Nothobranchius furzeri: one gene and its partner. The protein of the gene in region 1 purifies or fractionates together with the protein of each later gene. This does not show direct contact. Links are inferred from orthologs where the notes say so. Each region holds a gene or a part of one and is shown in the gene's direction. Other genes may lie near its edges.

What was found.
Region 2: the proteins of arrdc3a (region 1) and NEDD4-like E3 ubiquitin-protein ligase WWP1 purify together in Homo sapiens (affinity purification with mass spectrometry; 4 studies listed by BioGRID and IntAct, counting the BioPlex papers as one, with this or other methods). This does not show direct contact. The link is inferred for Nothobranchius furzeri from reciprocal best matches to the Homo sapiens genes ARRDC3 and WWP1.

The regions. Positions count from the first base shown.
Region 1 is NC_091757.1:41,570,620-41,575,589, reverse strand, and holds the start of arrdc3a (arrestin domain-containing protein 3a), read left to right. Parts: upstream 1-1,530; 5' UTR 1,531-1,741; coding exon 1,742-2,021; intron 2,022-3,377; exon of another isoform or gene 3,378-3,405; coding exon of another isoform or gene 3,406-3,448; coding exon 3,449-3,530; intron 3,531-3,632; coding exon 3,633-3,780; intron 3,781-3,872; coding exon 3,873-3,975; intron 3,976-4,143; coding exon 4,144-4,400; intron 4,401-4,834; coding exon 4,835-4,970. UniProt on the Homo sapiens protein: Adapter protein that plays a role in regulating cell-surface expression of adrenergic receptors and probably also other G protein-coupled receptors.
Region 2 is NC_091747.1:36,690,073-36,694,813, reverse strand, and holds the start of NEDD4-like E3 ubiquitin-protein ligase WWP1, read left to right. Parts: upstream 1-1,566; 5' UTR 1,567-1,738; intron 1,739-1,999; exon of another isoform or gene 2,000-2,088; intron 2,089-4,741. UniProt on the Homo sapiens protein: E3 ubiquitin-protein ligase which accepts ubiquitin from an E2 ubiquitin-conjugating enzyme in the form of a thioester and then directly transfers the ubiquitin to targeted substrates.

The DNA.
Region 1 (4,970 bases):
CTCGGAACTCCAACAGATATCTAAAAGTAAAGAAAAAAATTCCCAAACTGAGGCTTTTCACGGGTTTTACCCTAACGTGTTGTCTTTTTTCTTTTTTAAATAATTTATTTTTACTACCGCGCTGTCGGTGGGAGGTATTGTATTTACTTCCTGGTCATGATTTCAAAATAAAAGTATACTATAAAAAAAGGGGGGGTGGGGGGGTTGTTTCGTGTCCATGGGGACAAAGAATGAAACTGATATTTAGAAGGAACTGAAATAAAATAAAACTCAAACAAAATCCATCGTTCATTAACCAATTCATGCATAAAAGTATAGTACCACGAATTAATAAATTATAAACATTGCTAGAAGAGTGTCCCATCTTTTTAATTCAGCGGCAAAGTGGACACTAGAGGGCAGCATGCAACTAGGCATTAAACGTTTGTTTTTTTATTTATTTTTTTAATATTTTGCTGAGCTGGCACTGCAGTCATCCCACCTGTATCTATTGACATCCTAACGTTTAAGGTGCATGTCAATGTGTCCTTTGTATAGATAAAGTAAACAGCTTTCCAGATGTGTTTTATGTAATATGGGAAAAAAACATTAATGAATGCACTAAATGGCATTACATATGGTGTGTCAGGGAATCTATGAAGTTTATTGGATTTAATTGGAGGTAAATGGCATTTGTTAATACTAAATTATAAAATAAAAAATCCCCGTCAGGACAATAATGCCTGATTACCTTTCGGGCAGCATCCCCATACTGGCTGATTAAAAGTAAAGAACATTGGTATTGTTGCAGATCAACAGGTGATTCTGCTGCAGCCCATAGTGGGAACATTGGTTGCCACTAGGTGGCGTTTTGAGTCACGAGTTGTTTTTCTGAAAACTGGGAGCTCAACACAATGAGAAAGAGTCTTCTCAACATACACGGATCAGAATCAGTTAAATAACAATCAAAATGGGTCAGGTATATGAGTTACAACCACAGATGATCTGTTTTTAGTTTTATAATTAATATGCATGTTCTATACATCTACTCTGAACAGCCCTATGCCGTGTGCATCATGCAAAATGCAGCTCTTTGGATTTTACAATGACATTGCTCTGATTATGTAAAAGCGTTGTGTAAAGTGTTCACAATAAGCCTGCAGGCTGTGGCTCCAAAATAAAAACAAAATTCACACGTTTTGTGTGATTTTAAAAAATACTTACTCAAATATTGAGGTGGACTATGTACAGACTGGACTAAATCTTATTATTATATTGATAATTGATATTTTTAATGTTACAATTCGCCCCAAAAGCCTCACCCAGGACTATTGCAAATATTTCTTTATGCGGTGTTTCAGGTGCTTTTACCATACTTGCAGGGCGGCTGGATGAATGTGAGCTTTGCCTCACACTGCTCTGCCTGCCTTGTTCCAGAAGGCGAGAAGGTGGGGGCTGTGCAGCCACGCGCAGGCGCAGAAGGTTGTTTTTCACACAGCTTCTGGTTTAAAGTGAGCTGAGCTCCGGGGGTTTCCTTGTCTGTGACTGAGACCATCAAGGAGACAGGCAGATGATAACAGCATCCATTGCTGGTTATCAGCCTTCACAAAGCTCAATGAACTGCTCACAAAGAAGCCACTGATCGTGCCCGCTGCTTCTTGCAGGGCAGAGATACTGATCAGTGTCTCCAACCCCGTTTTTCTTATGAGATTATTTTTTCATTAACTCCTTTTTTTAGAGCTCGAGAAGATCTCTTTCCGCCATGGTGCTAGGAAAGGTAAAGAGCTTCATAGTGAGCTACGACTGTTTTAATGACAGCAACGTCCCCGTCTTCTCCAGCGGGGACTCCGTCTCAGGGAGGGTGATCGTCGAAGTCACCGGAGAAATCCGGGTGAAATCTCTCAAAATCCACGCAAAAGGAATAGCAAAAGTTCGTTGGACTGAGTCAAGAAACGCTGGATCCAACACTGCCTACACCCAGAACTACACAGAAGAAGTGGAATACCTGAACTACAAAGATATTTTAATTGGACATGAAAGAGGTAAGAAGTTTTGTAGAAATTGTGATGCTCCCCTGGTTGGGGATCAGGTTCGCTGAAAGATATAGAGTTGCAGGGCTCAATAACAGGATAATTGGTTCGATTAAAGACTAAATAAAGACCTGTCACTTTATTGCCTTATTTCAGACGAGATGTTCGGTGGGTATTTAGTTGTCTTTTAAAATCTCCATCGTTGCTTGTTTTTGTGGTCAGAATGAATGACAGCTGCTCACGTATCTTGTGTTTTTCATGGCATTTGAGGCGCATAGGGAGGATTTATCTCATTTAAATACATATTGGAATTGAGTTGATTCTGTATTTTATAGCTATGAAGCTTTGTTTAGAAATTTCATCGCTAAACAACGATGAAGTTTCCACCTATTGTTCAAAGCGGTTCAATCCTGTTCCGAAAACTGGTTTGCGAGGGGGCGGGGGGAAAGCCAGAGCGCACCCTGGCTCGTGTGTGATTGGTTAAGATGCTAGTGTGTGGCCAATGACATCATTCCCCTGCAGAGTGGCAGAAAAAACTGCAACTTTTTAATCAATGTAAAACACCTGCAGGACACGAAAATTGGTGGTTTTACTGTAAATTTTAAGGAATTGTGAGTTGCAACCAGGATGTGCTGGACATTTGAGATTTCTTTGCTCTTAATTTTTAATTAAAATCAAGAGTTTTTTTTTTCTTATACCAGTGAATGCAGTAAAGCTTTTATTTGCATGTATTCGGTTAGGTCTGTTAGCATGGATTATGTTAAGCTAACATGTCCGAGACGTGGTGATATTGTCGCTGAACGATTTAATATTTATTAGCGTTGGGAACACGTGTTTAAATAAGTGGGTAGCAGCTCCTTTAGTCTTACGGGACCACAGAGCTTGTCAGACGCATTTATGTATGTGGTTGTTGTGACTGCGGCGTCGCGGAGTGAATACGTAATGCCGAGGGAAGCTGCTCACACCGGTTTAGTCCGGTCTTCTCCTGCTGGAGTCTGTCTCTTGACTGACAGCTCCGCACTTGTTTACCACACGGCTTCTGCTAGGGGGAGGGTGTGCTGAGCTGGCAAGGGCTGCGCACACGTCCTTATCCGCCACATATTTACCTTTTCATGTAAAATGAGCAATATTAAATAAAAAATTCATAATTCCCCCCCCAAAATAAGTGAGAAGGCATCGCTTCGCTTTGCCCCATAAAATTACTTGTGCATTAGCATCACTCACGTTCAGTTTCTGATTTCTCCAAATTTTACTCTGCTGTTTTTTAAAATCTCAATACACTTAATTTCTAACAGACAAGATCAATTGTAAAACCCGTTTATTCTCTTTTTGTCTCCCCCACCCTGTGTTCTTTGATATGACTTACAGATGCCTTCGTAGAGCATTTTGTCCAGGTATGGTATACATGTGTTTGGAATATTGTCCTCCTTGTTTTTCAGACGATGACAACTCGGAGGAAGGACTCACTACAATCCATGCAGGAAGGCATGAGTATGCATTCAGCCTCGAGCTTCCACAGACGTAGGTGTCCCAATACGAAACTAGAATCAGAGAAAAAGTTATTTAGATTTGAGAACTTGACCGTTTTTCTCCTTTCTGCCCTTCTTTTACCGTCACCTGCAGACCTCTGGCTACCTCTTTTGAAGGAAAACATGGCAGTGTGCGCTACTGGGTGAAGGCAGAGCTCCACAGGCCATGGCTCCTGCCCATGAAGACTAAGAAGGAATTTACAGTCTTTGAGCACATTGACATCAACACTCCGTTATTGCTGGTAAGAAGTCATAGGAATGATGAAATGCATAGCTTTTATGTTTGTAAACTAAGAAAAAATGTTTATAAGATGTTTTTTCTCTACTTTTTCAGTCGCCTCAGGCCGGCACAGCAGACAAGACGCTTTGCTGTTGGTTCTGCACCTCAGGTCCAATTTCCCTAAGTGCCAAAATTGAAAGGAAGGGATACACCCCAGGTGAGGATAAGTGAATAAACGATAAGGTTGTTACTCATCTGTTTACCAGATGAGCCAATGGGATGATCACATTCTGCAGGATTCTCTACTTGTTACTGATTACTCATAATTAGGGTTCCTATCACTAGAGAAAAATATTAACTTCCATTATGTCTTATATTTGTGTAGGCGAGTCTATCCAGATATTTGCCGAGATCGAGAACTGCTCGTCCCGCGTGGTGGTGCCAAAGGCGGCCATCTACCAGACACAGACCTTCTATGCCAAAGGAAAGGTGAAGGAGGTCAAGCAACTGGTGGCCAACCTGCGGGGGGAGTCCTTGTCCTCTGGCAAAACGGAGACCTGGAATGGCAAAATGCTGAAGATCCCACCTGTGTCCCCCTCAATCCTGGACTGCAGCATCATCAGAGTGGAGTACTCCCTCATGGTGAGTTTGGTCTTTCTCTCACACACTCGATGAACATTTAGGTCAGGTGCCCGTTTTTGTTGTTTGTATTTGTTTTGAGACGACGGGCATACAAGGGTTTCTGCTTTCATCAGAATCAATATTTCCTTGTAAGCCAATATCCCGGTAAAGGTGCCTGGCTGACTCGGCTTGCATAACCAAATCTGGACCTGGGATTGTACCAGGTGTTATGTCCGCATGCTGCTAAGCGCATTAGCCCAGAATAATGGAGGCAACACCTGCCCTGAGGGTACTAATAACCTCTTTACCCTTCACATAGACAGATAACTGATTTGAACACACTGACCCACATGACCAGTTTACCTAAATATTGGTTTGCAGATTGGAATGCACAGCTCTGTAAACTCCCATTTTCAAGATCTAAATTGCTGTCATGTCCTCGTGTTTGTGCTCAGGTATATGTCGACATACCAGGGGCAATAAACTTGTCCCTGAACCTGCCCCTGGTTATCGGAACCATCCCTCTTCACCCATTTGGCTCCCGCACATCAAGCGTCAGCAGCCAGTGCAGCGTGAGCTGGCTGGGCATGG
Region 2 (4,741 bases), on another chromosome or scaffold:
AATCTATATAATTTACTGATTATTTTTGTTTTGTATGTTAAATATTATCACATCCACACGTTAAATTAAAATTAAATTGTAAAAAAAAATCTATTTACTTGGGGGTGCTATGGGGGTGCAATGACTAATCCAGGGGTAGCTCTAGCGCCCCCCCTGGCGCCGCCACTGCAACCAAGAGAAGGCATGCTGATAAAATCCAGGAGAACATCTGCAGTACAGGGAACACCAGGCAAATGTGGAAGGGGATTCAACAAATGACACAGTAAAAAAAACAGGCAGGGAATCGAGGACAGTGATGCTTCTCTCCCGGACAAACCCAACAAGTTTTTTGCCCGATTCGAAGTAAGGGGGAAGGCACCAGGAGGGGAGAGTAGATGTCCCCCTCCACCTGGTCAGTCCCCAGAGGTCATCAGCCCAGCTAACACCAGGAATATCTTGGCGGAGATTAACCCAAGTAAAGCAGATGGCCCGAACAGCAAAAGCTGGTGGATGTCCTGACAGATTTTTTAACATCTCTCTCTGTCAGTCTAAGGTTCCAGCCTGCTTCAAGACGTCTTTCATCGTTCCTGTGGCTAAGAAGTCTGTTGTGCCTTGTCTAAATGACTTCTGTCCTGTAGCACTGACCTCTACAGTCATGAAGTGTTTTGAATGGTTAGTCAAACCACTCATCACATCCAGTTTACCTGCTCTACTGGGTCCACATCAGCTTGCCTACCGCTCAAACCGTTCCACCGAGGATGCTCTATCCCTCACCTTGCACACAGTACTCACTCACCTGGAGCAGAGGAACTCCTACACTAGTATCCATCCATCCATCCATTTTCATCTGCTTATCCGGAGTCGGGTCGCGGGGGCAGTAGCCCAAGGCGAGAGGCCCATGACTTCCCTCTCCCCAGCCACTTGGGCCAGCTCCTCCGGGGGAATCCCAAGGCGTTCCCTGGCCAGGTGAGAGACATAGTCCCTCCACCGTGTCCTGGGTCTACCTTTAGGTCTCCTCCCAGTTGGACGTGCCCGGAAAACCTCACCAGGGAAGGACCACCCACCTGTAAACAAGAGGTCAGAAGAGCAGTTTAGGAAGCCTCTCACCTCAGAGACTGTGACATCTAGGGGCCTGTCTACTTGTTTATTCTATTTTACTTGATTTTATGTATGTATGGTTTTAATTTAAACAATGTGAAGCACATTGTGTTGTCATGCATGTGTTTTATAAAAAACGTTTGACTGAATTTATAAACATTTTGGTCCCTTGATGACCCCTCAAAATCCTGGATCTTCCATTGAGTCAGTATATTCTAATCTTGTTCTGGCCCTGATGATGCCTAACCATCAGAATTATTGCAACATCTGTTTTACCTCCAGAAAAATGACTTGCAGAGAGGTCAAACAACATAAAGTCAAAACATTTGGAAAGTAAAACAGTAAAAATTGTGTTTCGGGGATGTGAAAATGAAAAACCAAAGAGAAAAATCAGATACCTGCACACACAGAACTAGATGTGCATTAACATGAATTATGTATGAGTGCCTATTGAGCAGCAGCGACATTCGAGTGAGAGAGCTGCAGGTTTAGGAGAGCAGCAGGATTTGGGGTGGCGCGTCTGTCGCTGTGTTGAGCTCATCGGAAGCGTCGGTGTAGAGATGGCAGTAAAACAGTAGCGGACTGCCGGGCCTGTGGGGAACCGAGGACCCGAACGTTCCTGCACCGTTGACTACATGAGGAGCGCACAAGAGCGAGCAAGGTAAACACGGCTGCTTCTCCGTCCCAAGCCTTAACATACCAGCTTACGGCAGGTTTAAGACGGTTTGTGAAACACGTCCTCCATATTCAACCCAACTGTTTGACTGACTAGCTCTGCGTGATGGCGGACAATTAGCCGAGCTGCTAACTAAGTTACTCCGCGAGCCGGTGTTGTGTCGCCTCCGGCTAGCAGACTAGCGCAGGGTTATCGTTAACTTGGCTAAGCTCACACAAACTGCACGGCTATGTAACAAAAACAAATACGCTTTCAAGTCGTATCTGTGCAAACACACTCACCTGGCTCCTCGGCCACTGCACATGCAGCTAAAGGAACAGTCAGCTAGCATAAAGGTAAACAAAAAACAAAACAAATATAACCAAAATAGCCATTTTAACATCGTAGCTGAGTTAGCTTCTAGCTAGCAAGCGTTAGCTTTTGGTGCAGAGTAACGTCACTGTGTTGTTATAAGTAGTTATTAAATATCTTTTAGATTTCGTTTCATGAGATGTTTGTGCAAAACCACTTCAGCCTGTTAACAGATTGTTTCATACATCTCCTAATGCTAGCAAACACGGTAGGGAAGTAAAGTTAGCAGTTCATGTTTACCCAGATTATATTCATATATCAGTTGTGTGTTATGACCATTAGTTTATACATGACCGCTATCTATGGGGCATTTCTGTTCTTTTATATCGTTTAGTTGCTCGTGTTTACCGAACTTTGTATTCCGTCAACAACACTGGATACCTCTCAACCCATTAAAGGTTTTAACATTTATTATAACTAAACGCGTCGTGTTACATGAGCTGACACAAGCGAACAGAGCAGACATTCTGGTTTTTGTTAAAAACGTTGTCAAGGTTGATCAGCTGAGAACTCTCTTCAACACAACAACACGGTTTTGACGTGTGTGTGTGTGTGTGTGTGTGTGTGTGTGTGTGTGTGTGTGTGTGTGTGTGTGTGTGGGGGGGGGGGGGGGGCTTATACAAACATGGCACAATAGAAAAACAACAGTTGCAGTATAACTCAAGCTCAGATTATGCTTTGCAAAACTCCCTGTAAGTAGTACGGCTGCAATTAATAATTATTATGATAGTCGACTGAGAGGTAAATTTTAAATCTTTTTCTTATTGGTGAATGATTATTGCAATCCTACCTCCTGTTCTGGGCTCTGGTTCAAGTCTCAGACTGCTCAGGTCTGTGATTGTCACCTTGAGACATATAACTTTTTTACAGCAAAATTAATTAACTAGCAGTCAAACCAATGAAGCTAGAGCTAACTATACTGTGGGTAAAGGATGTTTATTATCTACTATAGGGCACAAAATGTTGTTTATCATAACGCCAAACCCTGACCAATAACTAGAATTGTGATTAATTAGCATTTGTTGAGGCTTTGTTATAACAGTTACAGTACAAACATCAACAATAAAAAGTGTCAATGTAACATGAATTCACTCTAAGTCTAGTGTATGGGCAGCCTTACAGCTGCAGGGTAGTGGTGCTGCTGTAGGAACAAGGCTCTGCTTTGTACAATCTGAATTCAATTTTTGGTTAGTTGGTGTTGAAGGGCTGAAAGGAGCAAAGTAACCTAATACAATGTGTTATAAATAACATCCAGTAGCGTGTATTCTCATAAACTCCTTCATTTATCATTGAATAGGAAGACTAACAGGCACTAATTAGCATTAACAATAACAATAATAACCCAGTTATGCACGGTGCAGTCGGCATGAAACAACACACAAACTAAACAGGATAACACCATGTAAACTATGCTCCAATCCGATGACATGATCGGAAATCGGGCACAATCACATGATTTTAGAAGGCTCTGATATGAAACACTTAACAAGGAAAATCTGTATCAATGAATTCTTGTATCCTATATTATGTCAACTAGTCCTTGCAGCCCTCCCATTGTCTTCGAATTTGATCTAATGAAGATGCTTTGATTGTTATCTACTCACTTAAAAATGTCTCACCAAACTGATTCAAATCAGAACGTGTTTAGGGATGTGAGTGAGTTGCTGTCTCTCCGCTTTCAGTTGTGGTTTAGCTGATCGTCCGTCACAAATTGTAAATATTCGTGTCCCTTTTGGAAGGAGTTTCTGTCAGGAAGCGGTCTATTGAGCAGCAAGTTGTACTAGTTGGCTCTGAAACATTTTTGTTTACAGTGTCTGATAGATGCATGGACAAATCTTTGAAGAAAACAGCTTTGAGTAAGCATTTGCTCTTGAACAGGGGGTGCTGAAGGTAAGGGCAAACCGATGACCTTGTGGACAATTATGGAGCTGCGTGATTTGAACAAAGGTCACTTGGAATGAAAATGTTAACCTTTGATAAACATTAGCTAAGAAAAACTAGATAAAATATGTTTTCCTTTAATGAATACATCCGAGATTGTTTTCTGTAATACTTTTTGCCTTATTGCTTGAAATGCTCTTCGAATACTGGCAACCGATCAATTAAATGTTTTGTCAAAAAATTAACAATTTTAATGGCCTCAAACGTAGTCCTGGAAATGCCCCATCCAATCCAGAGCTGACCCCGCTTGCTCACACCTGGGGATGCACATTCTCCAAAATTTCTTTAACTGGTTATTGACGCCCCTCAGCGGTTAATAGCCGGTTAACCAGAAACCAACCAGCAACAACAAATCATGTTTTATATCGCTGTTTGATGTCATATGATGTTCCTCTCCACTGCCAGGATTAAAGCCATGAAAAACACACCGTTGTACGTCTCGAACGATGCAGGGAGGAAATAAGCCGTTGGGTCACACGTAAGCTTCATATTTATGAAATGACATCGCTGAAATACTTTTCATTTATAAAATTACTGGGGGTTTTACACCGAAACCGTGTTTGATTTCCTGTATAGCCCTATCTTACCTGCAGTAATTGACGCATCCCAGAAGCAGCTTGCAGAAAAAGTAGAACCCGATCCAATCTTTAGCCACGCAGCGTGCCGCTTCTGGGACCTGTCTGAAAATTGGTTTGT